Daphnia pulex: one gene and its partners. The protein of the gene in region 3 binds, or shares a complex with, the protein of the main gene of each other region. Links are inferred from orthologs where the notes say so. Each region holds a gene or a part of one and is shown on either strand. Other genes may lie near its edges. The genes, in order: protein SEC13 homolog, nucleoporin SEH1-like and GATOR complex protein Iml1-like.

Region 1 (3,226 bases), on a different chromosome or scaffold from region 3:
GTGTTGGGCCGCCATCCGGAATTTATCAACAAGAAGAACTTTGTTGCTTCCGTCGGTAAGCCGTGCCTGGCTTTTTACCGTGAGCCAGATGATTTCTTCCCTGATGACGGACAATGGTATCGCGCCGTGGTTGAAAGCGTCAATGGAGACACCGCCAGAGTCTACTATTTTGATTACGGTCACACTTGTGAGGTGCAGACCAGTTTGTTGAGAGATTTACCCTCGGATTACGCCAAGCAACCGGCGTTGGCATTCAAGTGTTGCCTGGATGGAGCGGAATCTTTCTCCAAAGTCGCCGCCGATGCTTTTCTTGATCGCTTCGTTAAACGTGCTTTCTTCGCCGTTAAATTCATCAAGGTCGTCGACGGAGCCCTTCACATTCGTCTCTTTACTTTAAATGGGGTGGATCTTTTCGAAAAGCACCGCAAGATATTGACTCCGCCTTCGTCACCGGAAACTTCAGCGAAAGCAGATGAGAACGATTTTTCGACACCTTTTGCATTCCTTGCGACTCCATCACACAAATGAACCAGTTCATTTTCTCCAAAACAATTTCAAAATTCTTCTTACGACGACGGAAAGTCTTAATTCTATAGAGAGAGAGAGAGAACAATTATTTTATGAACTCGGTCAACAAATATTCAGCTTTTCTTTTCAACAGTGTTAACACACCCAGCCTTCTTTTTGCATCTTAATTGTTACAATATTATAGTAAAGATGTTTAATTCCTTTCGGTCTTCACAAACTATTTCCCAACAAAAATTTTTATATTAGGCTGCGGTTGTTTCATTTTCTGTGCAAGAAATATTTATTTTGGTTTCATTACTTTCGTGACTACGTTTCCTTTTTTCACGTTTTTTCCACTGTGACTGCGTTAATTATTTTTGTACTTGTCCTGTTGCACGTCACCCTTGTACTTCTTCCGTTCTGAAATTCTTAATAAATCATATTTGTTCCTTGTATTTATTTGTACGTCATCTTATTGATCTAACCCTTTTTTTGAATGAAAATTTAAATGGAGGTGGCGTGGCGCCAAAACGTTTTCACTAAAATTGGTTGAATTGTTGATGTTTGGCAACGCGCTGGGGACACGTCGACTGAAAATTGACAGATTCGTTTGTGTGAGTTTGTCGGTATTTTTTTTACGCAGGAATATTTTATAACTCGCTGTCTTATCTACAAGTTCTCAGTAAAAATGGTACTTTGTCATAATTTGGATGCATTTTTAAAGGCACTTGTAAAATTATCATTAAATTATTCCCTCTTAGGTGTCAGTCATTTCCACAGTCGATACTGGACATGAAGACATGATCGTGAGTATCTAATCATTCTGATGTTGATTTTGTAATTTCTTACATGATATTAACGTTTTTTTGGGGATTTATTAGCATGATGCGCAAATGGACTATTATGGCTGTCGGCTTGCAACCTGCTCATCTGACAGGTCTGTGAGGATTTACGATGTGAAAAATGGAACACAAACATTGGCTGCCGATTTGAGAGGACACGAAGGACCGGTATGTTAATTTTGAATGATCTGTTAATATCATACAACAAATGGTGGTTATACTGACAATTTCATACATTTATCAGGTTTGGCAAATTGCTTGGGCTCATCCCAAGTTTGGGAATATTTTAGCATCATGTTCTTATGATCACAAAGTTATTATCTGGAAAGAGATGAATGGACAATGGGTCAAGTTTTATGAATATGCTAACCATGATTCATCTGTGAACTCTGTTTGCTGGGCCCCTCATGACTATGGCCTTATCCTCGCTTGTGGAAGTTCTGATGGATCCATCTCCATTCTCTCTGCTACAGCTGCAGGAGGTTGGGAGGCCAAGAAGATCAACAATGCCCATACAGTATACATTTCACCATCTTTATTAAGTCTTAAATATTTCCTAATGCATGTGATGCTATTGTAGATTGGGTGCAATGCAGTTAGTTGGGCTCCAGCTATTGGACCTAACGCGGCCTTTGACTCAACTACCGGTTCACGATCTGCTCCTGTCAAGCGTTTTGTTAGTGGGGGTTGTGATAACCTAGTCAAAGTCTGGCGGTAAGTTACATAATTCATTTAAAAAGTAAATCTCCTTTATCAATCGAGGCCTTTTTTCGAATTTGCAGGGAAGATAAAGAATGGGTTGAGGAAGCTAAACTAGAAGGCCATTCGGATTGGGTTCGTGATGCAGCTTGGGCTCCGTCCATTGGGCTTTCGCGTACGGTCATCGCCAGCTGTTCTCAAGATCGTCGAGTGATTCTATGGACCAACGACGGTGTTTCCAGCAGTTGGAACCAACGAGTTCTTCACACCTTCGAAGATGTTGTTTGGCACGTCTCATGGTCCGTGACCGGAAACATCTTGGCGGTCTCTGGTGGGGACAACAAAGTTAGTCTCTGGAAGGAAACAGTGGAAGGCCAATGGGTATGCATCAGTGACGTGAATCGAGGCAAGGGATCGACGCCTGGCCAACAGTGAAAATACCCGTCTGTTTGTTAATCTCCACTCTAACGCTAGCCATGTTTCCCTTGATTTGGTTTACTATATAAATTACCGCAAAGAAACATTTAAACGTTTAATTATTTATTTCAACCCAATAATATTCTTAAAAGATTAGAAACTACCAACACGTTCAAACTGTTCCCTAAGAGTCGATACCGAGTTTTAAGTGAAGTGTTTTCAGGAAAGGTAAATTCAGCAGGGAAGCCCATTAAATTTCCGACTTCTCGCGGTGTGAAATATCTAAGAACAGAAAATGTTACAACAAATAATACGTTGGGTTAGTTATGAGGCAATTTCAGTTATTAGGTTTTCAATCTTACCTTAATTTTAAAGGTTTCAAATGAGCAATATCTTCATCTTCTTTAAATTCAGCGAATTTTTGGTGAAATGGCTCGTTCGGGTCGTGTTGAAGTACAGAACCAGTTCCTTCTGCATAGTGGGTATACGCTTTGGTGAAACAACAGGAAGATGTGTCGGATGTTCGTCGTACATCGAGAATACGCCAATACTTTAATAATGTTTTATCAGTAAGCAAATAACGTGCCAATTCTTCATCAGACATATCTTTCTCCAGATAGGGGTCTAACGTTTTTTCTTGCACCGGCATTTCAATGTCACAGCTACTGTTAGGAAAGGAGGTCATCTGTCAAAAAAATAATCAAATAAGATGATGAATAAATCATTAATAAAAATTGAATTTGAATGGTGCTTACAATGTC
Region 2 (3,666 bases), on a different chromosome or scaffold from region 3:
ACGTTGATCAATCTTGATTGATTAATTGCCCGATCAACGAAATAAATTTCATAAAAGCGCATATCAGCCATGTTGAAAACTTTCGAATAAACCGAACAGCTGTGATAAATATTGGCATTTCGTTGGATTGGTTTCCAAGTTCCAGTGCAGCACAATGATTTAAAAACCGATTGAAGAGGCTGGATCAATAAATATGTACCATCTAATGCGTATTGTTTAACCATAAAATCCATTTTCTAAAAAAAGTCATTAATGAAAAACTTTTCCTGTTTAGTCCGTAAAAGTTATAGATGCTACTTGATCTTTCAGTATGTTTATCCTGGCGGAGTTTAGTAGATATTCGTTTTGACTATCGTCGTAGTATATTGAATTGCTAAAGCCTCCAGATAATTGTCGATAAAGAGAGCAAGCTGACTGAGAATCGTAGTTGTAATCCGTTAAGACACAGAGATTGATCAGATGTTCGCAGTATTTTCCTCCACCGTGTGCCTTTAAAGAAAAAAAATTGGTGTTTAATAGCACAAACATGGTAAATAATTCCTACCTTGCATTTAATTGCCGTCAATCTAACCCAATTCCGCAAATAATTAGAAATGTAAGGTCTCCCGTGTAAGTTATATGTAAAGATAGTGGGTGTTTCGGGAATCGTGAATAAATCTTTGACGCAAGTTCCGTTCACATCTTCGTATTCACTAGGACAATGACACATGTTCGAACAAGGAACGCACGAAGATTTTGTGTCATCAGGCTGATGCCAAAGCGGGCATTTCAGACATCGTGCGGAGGTAATATTTCCAGTAATTTGAAGGACTGTGATAAAAATTCAGAAATTAATTCTTCTTTACTATACTTAGCAGATAGGACCTAGGTAAATGTGCGTTTTTCATACCTTTGATGTCGTACGGTTCACACGTGAGATTGCTTTTTAGACACATTTCTGACTGAATTGATTGGTTACAGCGTAAGCATTCAATTGCTTTGGACTTTTCATTAAATTCAGGGTAGTAGCCAAAGCCACACTCACAACTCAAACGGTCATCGGAAGATATTTGAAAGACCCCGCAACCTTTGCACTTATGTGATATCGAATCAAAGTAGGAGGAACGATTGCAGCTTTCAGGAAACGAAGACAATATGACATCGTAAGCCTCCACCTTCTTTAAGATGAAAAAAAGCAGGTAATGAGCAACTAACACGATCATCGTCACTTTAAATTTTTGTTTGTTTTGTAAAGCATATTTGTTACCTAGCAACCACTCCCCAGCAATGAGCCAAGTCAGCCAACCAACAATATCAGAAAAAACATCGTTTCTTTCATGAATCAATCTGGCAACGCCCACAACTGTCCCATACTGCCATAGTGCCATACATTTGAAGTTTGATCAGTCGAGCTGTCGGCTGCTTGCGTTCTTGCTTTCTTAATTCTGTGAAATTTGCAAGCAAAAACTTGTTTCTCGTGATTAAGAAGTGATTTAAAAAGTTCTGTAAACATGTTTCAAGCAAGAACGATAAATGCTGAACACAAAGACCTGATTCATGATGTAGCTTATGATTTTTATGGGCGTCGATTGGCTACTTGTTCCTCCGACCAGAGTGTTAAAGTAAATTGTTAGAAATCGAAAAAAATTTCTTGTGTTAACTAAATTGCGGAATTATCTTTCAAGGTTTTTGACCTGGATGAAAATGATGAATGGAGATTGACTGCTGATTGGAAGACTCATGCTGGTTCTGTTTGGAAAGTAAATTGGGCTCATCCTGAATTTGGTCAAATTTTAGCCACTTGCTCATTTGACAGAACAGCTGCAATTTGGGAAGAAATTGGTTTGTAAAATTCTTTACAATTTTAACAACTTAAATTAGTTACTAAATGCATATCCAGTTGGTGAATCAGGGAATTCAACGCAGAGTAAAAACCAAAGTCATTGGGTGAAAAGGACAAGTTTGGTAGATTCAAGAACCAATGTGACTGACATCAAATTTGCTCCAAAACACATGGGACTATTGTTAGCTATGTGTTCAGCTGATGGAGGAGTAAGTTCTAAGATATATTTATTACATTGTTAAATATATAAACCAGATGAAAATGTCAATTTTATAACATAATAGGTTAGAATATATGAAGCCCCAGACATTATGAACCTAAGTCAATGGAGTTTGCAGCAAGAAATAACACTGAAAATGCCTGTGTCTTGTCTATCATGGAATCCGTCATTTTCTCGTCTCCATCCTCCAATGTTGGCAGTTGGTAGTGATGACACGAATGTCGCCTCTGGTGGAAAAGTGTTTCTGTTTGAGTACAGTGAAAGCTCCCATCGCTGGTCTAAAGCTGAAACTATCAACACAATAGTCGACCCAGTGCATGACATAGCATTTGCACCTAACTTGGGAAGAAGTTACCACATTCTAGGAATTGCAAGCAAAGATGTTAGAATAGTTATTCTTAAACCACCTCAGTAAGTAGTTAAAATATTTTAAGGATGGAATAAGAATAAATTTATAATTTTTTTTATTAAAGGAAAGATGCTTATGCAGCAGCTTGTCCAACTTCCCAGTTGGAGATACTGCAGGCAGCCCAATTTGATGACCATCATTCTACTGTTTGGAGAATCTCTTGGAACATTACTGGAACTATTCTAGCTTCTTCAGGAGATGACGGCTGTTTAAGAATGTGGAAAGGCAAGAAATCAAGAAATATTTAATGCCATGTCTGGCCTATTAAATCAGCTGTTTTTACTGTCTATTTCCACAGCCAACTATTTGCAGAATTGGAAATGCATTGCCGTGTTGAAAGGTGATGGATCGGGTGTAAGTCCAGAAGACGGAACTGATCGTGATAAAACCGTTTCTGCAGCAACTGCTCGTTACTTTAAACTTGGCGCAATCAGCAATCCAAATCAAGTACCCTGGCACTAACATTTACTTCCCAATTTTTATGATAATAATATGTCTCTTCCAATCCACACAAATAACTGGGAGTTTTCATTTCTGGAGAAACCCATGGTCTCGAAAATGGAAAGTTGTTCTGAAGAAATAAATGAAATGATATGGAGTTTTAAACTATGTCATTTTTTCATGTCACATTCGTTTAGGGTCAAGTTGTTATAAAAACACTTTTCTCTAGTAGAGTAGCTATTTGTTTTTTTGTTAGGAGGGAAATGATTCAAATGATTTGATCATTTTCAGCTGCATTACTGCATACATTTACACATCTCTAAGGACATTTACAACAATAAACTGTAAGGTCATTTTTGTGATTTTTGACAAAAACTGAATATTACAAAACTCACCTGTTAGATTTTTGCAAACGTTTGTTTTTGTCTACCTCCAGTTTAAAAGTCAGTAGTTCCGTAAATATTATCAGTAAGTATTATTTTGACGCAAATAAGAAAAGAACTAAGGATTTGTGATCTTCGTCAAATTTTGGGTCGATTGCATGTGTCTGTAGGAAATATAGGAAAATCATCCTATTCGTGATTTTCCCTAAACTAGTGATAGCCATCACAAAAATTTACGATTTTAGTTTTAAAAAAATCATTTTTAAACATGGGAAATTGAGCTATCAGTTCCTTCCGGTAAATTTGTATAATTCTAGCAAGTGAACTTCATTCTCTTTACAGTTTTTTTTTTTAGATTTGAAGTTAGCAGGTTAATACAAATAGAAATACG
Region 3 (3,755 bases):
TTCTTCGATTGGATGTTAACTTAATTGTTACTCTGCTCGGATCGAATGGATTAATTAAAGCACGTCCAGTTTTGATTTGACGTGTACTGGGATCGAAAGTAACAGTAGACGGGTTGGCGCCTATCGTCACTGTGTTGCTTCCGAGAGCGCTTGGTGATCCAGCGCTGCCTACTACAGCTCTAAGAGTGTTGGACCTGCGATCTTCTAATCGCTCCTCACCCCCACTAGGTCTTCGAACACGTGGATGAGGTGCAGTTGCACCACATGACGCAATAAAACTGTCGTCGACAGCTGGTCTTTTTGGAATGGTAACTGAGGGTGATTTTGTGAGTGAACAGCTGAGCATAGTGGGCGCACTGATCAATGAGCTGCTGAGTCCATCACCTATTAAATAAAAAATTTGCACCTATGTTTTTACAGAATTTAACATGGAAATTAGAAAAATTTCATATACCAGGGTGACCCGTGGTAAAAGAAATGTCCATATCATGAAGACGAGATCTTCTAGCGTTTCCTCGGCTCCGATCAAACCGATTCACCTCTGAGGATATAGCGGTGGTTTTGCGATGACGAGTTTCTCGCATCAAAGTTTGAACCTGCACATAACAGAACATTTGTATCCGATTATTTTCCCAAGAGACATAACGTATTCAAATACCTTGCTAGTGCGGGTTACTGGAAGCGCAAACACTTTTGCGTCATAGGCATCATAGTCAAAGACAGAGTTCGGTAAACTACTTTCAACTTTAATGGAACTGCTAGTTTTAGACGAGAGTAATCCTAAATACAAACGATAAAGTTTTATTAAAGTAAAATTTCGACTCTTATTCAATAATAGTGTTTGAATTACTGTACCTGCAGTTTTGCTCTTGTGAAGAGTTGTCTCTTTATTTAAAATGGGAGCCATCTTAATGCGGGGAAGAAATGTAGAATAACCAATCCGCTTGCTGGAAGAATAGAAGCTGAGATTGATCCAATGAGGCATACTAAAGTCATTTGAGGCAGCGCTATGTCTTTTATTGTGAAATTGCAATAAGGGAACTGCATGTAAAGGCTGTTCACCAACACAAACCAGATCACTCCCCACACCTGTTTGTAACACATATTTAATTGAAACCATGCTCGATAAGAAAGTATTTAGTAAAAAAAATAAAAACAGTTGAAATTTTTTACCGTTGTCTATGATCCTTTGCTTCGTAATGTTTGTCAACTCTCGATCTACTTCAAAGACGCCAACTCCAGGTGTGATGACTACGGAAAGCTGGCCAGTGCGGTCAAAGCTTCTATCCAAGTAGTGCTTCTCAAAAACATTTAGAGACATGTTAAGCACCTCGAGAAAGTTTCCTTGGGCTGCACATGAATTAACACCCTATTTACAAACAAGGAAAATGTTAGAACTCTTGTCATGATTCACAAATAATGAAGAAAAATACTTTAGGTATGTTCATGTCAGGGTGGTTTTGTTGATGGTAACCCAACACAGAGTTCTGCCAGTTATGAAAGAGTAATTTGAGTTGCGGCAGCACACACGCCCAGTCTTCCATTCGTTCGCTTTGAACAGCTACACGGTAAAAGTCTTCATAGAACATACCACGGTAATCTTGCTGCAAGCACGCTCGCACAGTTTCTGGGAAGTATTCCAAAGATTCTGTCTCGTAAAATATTCGAGAAAATAAAACAATTGTGACCTGGAAATGAGATTAGAGGTTTAATGAATTTAATGCTAAAGATTTATCATAACCGATGCCACCTCATGATTAGATCCATGGCGTTTCCACTTGGCGAATAATTCCGATAAGAAGCCGTTAACAGCTTTTTCAAAATACAGATCACCGTATATGTCAAAATCCCACATTTCTGAGCTCATTTGTAAGAAGAGATACACCTGACTTGTTGATGAACGAAATACAATTTTTGTATCCTCTGTAATCACACCACATGCCACTCTTTCTCCTTGTCCCCACATTTCATGAACCTTATTTGAAAAACAAACAATTTACAAATAAACAAATTTAATACTCATTACTGATTACACTTCCTCACCTGACATCGAACTGACTTGTTGCAAAACTCCAATTTCTTCCCAATGTACAAACAAGAGCCAATAAGGCAATTTTTCAACCTCCACATGTCACTACGTCCTAGATACTGATCCTTGAAGGTTAACTCTACAGAATCTAGAGCAGCTGAGGCTGGATCCATCACAGTCACATGGACTCCAAAAAATATTTGAAGTTGGAACATACTTACTATTGACTGTTCAATGCTGATTGTGTCTAAATGTTAACACATTTTTATAATTAAGAGATGAACCAGTAGCATTCAAACATAGTATTCATTAAAAATCACAAACATAATAGGCCTACCTTTTGTTTGCATTTCTTCTTTTAAAGAATGTACTTGAAGTAGAACTCTGGAGCCAACAACATCAGGGTGGTATATTTCTACTACATCTCTCACTTTCACGTGTGGGAAATCTTTTGAGCTCAAAATTATTTCTTCCTCTACAAAACATCACGAGAATATAAGTAGGCTAAGCATCATCATTCGCAGAATAAAGACATACAAATATCTCACCACTAAAATGTTTCTGATGAGCAATCAGTTTAAAAGTTTTCATTTTGAAGCTCTTGACAGGATATTCGAGCCTCTTCTATCGTCACGAGATGAAAGACTAGACTACTGCAGCGCAAATATATGCAGCTGATGTTGCCGTGATTGCCCTGTTCAGCCGTCTGCTGATCTGTTGATCAACAATCGTTAAGGTCATCTAGCGACAAAAATTGTAGCTACGTCAAAAACGAAATTTGAAAGCGGTAATTTTCAGGAATATGAATTAAGAATTAACTCTGAACTAAAAAAGAAGCTGTAGAAAATATGGTAAATAATGTTAGAAAATAAAACACAACAACTGACGGCTAAATCTATGTGTGTATGGTTAAATTGTAAATTCAATCAAATATTATTACAGCAACATAATTTACCAGCAATAAGTTACTTGTTCTTTAAACACGCCTGTTAACAAATAAATCGTTAGCCATGACAACAACTATCCTGAATCAATAATTGTGAGAGAATGATTTGAAACTGTTACTGCAAGATTGCTTATAGGAATAAAGTTGCCATAAGAAGTAAGGATTGTACATCACTTGAGGCTCAACATAAGGTTCAATGTGTGCCACTGGAGTTGACGGAGGTGAATAGGCTCTTCCATCAGGTGGAGGTGTGAGGACAGGAGGGCTCCAGTAATCTGAATCTCGCACGCACTTCGGGGTTGTCGGGCGTGCAACGTGGACGTTGGATTCGGCAAGCCGACGAGGTTCTGTTGTTTGTTTGCGTTTGTTCGTTAGCTGAACGGGTGATGATTGTTGTACCGATGAGGGTGTTCGGCTCATTATTGAACTTTGCTTCGATACAGTTTTTTTGGATGATCTGATGACGTCTTCATTGCCTTATCAAATAATTAAAAATATTAATAATTTCAAAAAATTCATGGGCGAATCATGGAGAACGGGAAAATTTTTTAAATTAATATCATAATATTACTAAAATCAACACAAAATAAAGGCAAAAGTTTTAAATAATTACTTGTTAGTAGCAACTGTTTGAGAACGGATCCGTTATGATTCGTACTTTCAACCTCTATTGGAAGCGATAATGATGTGTCGCGAATAGGCGTGGAAATCGGACGTGATCGCATTTTACTTGGGTAGAGGGTTTTTTCGACAAAGGACTGACTTTCAAGGAGGAATGCT

Evidence for each region.
Region 1: GATOR complex protein Iml1-like (region 3) and protein SEC13 homolog share a complex: the UniProt entries of both Drosophila melanogaster proteins name them as parts of the GATOR complex. The link is inferred for Daphnia pulex from reciprocal best matches to the Drosophila melanogaster genes Iml1 and Sec13.
Region 2: GATOR complex protein Iml1-like (region 3) and nucleoporin SEH1-like share a complex: the UniProt entries of both Drosophila melanogaster proteins name them as parts of the GATOR complex. The link is inferred for Daphnia pulex from reciprocal best matches to the Drosophila melanogaster genes Iml1 and Nup44A.

Annotation. Positions count from the first base shown.
Region 1 is NC_060026.1:1,756,567-1,759,792, reverse strand, and holds protein SEC13 homolog, read left to right. Parts: upstream 1-1,043; 5' UTR 1,044-1,195; coding exon 1,196-1,198; intron 1,199-1,268; coding exon 1,269-1,313; intron 1,314-1,388; coding exon 1,389-1,517; intron 1,518-1,593; coding exon 1,594-1,866; intron 1,867-1,929; coding exon 1,930-2,063; intron 2,064-2,131; coding exon 2,132-2,483; 3' UTR 2,484-2,571; downstream 2,572-3,226. Other genes in the region: uncharacterized protein LOC124206188, read left to right, coding at 1-528; tRNA (cytosine(38)-C(5))-methyltransferase-like, read right to left, coding at 2,594-2,747, 2,828-3,150, 3,221-3,226. UniProt on the Drosophila melanogaster protein: Functions as a component of the nuclear pore complex (NPC) and the COPII coat. At the endoplasmic reticulum, SEC13 is involved in the biogenesis of COPII-coated vesicles.
Region 2 is NC_060020.1:7,749,550-7,753,215, forward strand, and holds nucleoporin SEH1-like, read left to right. Parts: upstream 1-1,315; 5' UTR 1,316-1,490; coding exon 1,491-1,601; intron 1,602-1,664; coding exon 1,665-1,821; intron 1,822-1,879; coding exon 1,880-2,031; intron 2,032-2,106; coding exon 2,107-2,453; intron 2,454-2,515; coding exon 2,516-2,676; intron 2,677-2,749; coding exon 2,750-2,913; 3' UTR 2,914-3,057; downstream 3,058-3,666. Other genes in the region: meckelin-like, read right to left, coding at 1-236, 298-489, 545-810, 890-1,202. UniProt on the Drosophila melanogaster protein: Probable component of the nuclear pore complex (NPC). Involved in maintaining the localization of another nucleoporin Mgtor to the nuclear envelope of early meiotic female germline cells.
Region 3 is NC_060021.1:10,273,604-10,277,358, reverse strand, and holds the start of GATOR complex protein Iml1-like, read right to left. Parts: upstream 2,743-3,755; 5' UTR 2,621-2,742; coding exon 2,578-2,620; intron 2,505-2,577; coding exon 2,367-2,504; intron 2,277-2,366; coding exon 2,044-2,276; intron 1,976-2,043; coding exon 1,751-1,975; intron 1,689-1,750; coding exon 1,434-1,688; intron 1,370-1,433; coding exon 1,174-1,369; intron 1,090-1,173; coding exon 856-1,089; intron 781-855; coding exon 659-780; intron 597-658; coding exon 455-596; intron 385-454; coding exon 1-384. Other genes in the region: uncharacterized protein LOC124194533, read right to left, coding at 3,060-3,451, 3,589-3,755. UniProt on the Drosophila melanogaster protein: An essential component of the GATOR subcomplex GATOR1 which functions as an inhibitor of the amino acid-sensing branch of the TORC1 signaling pathway.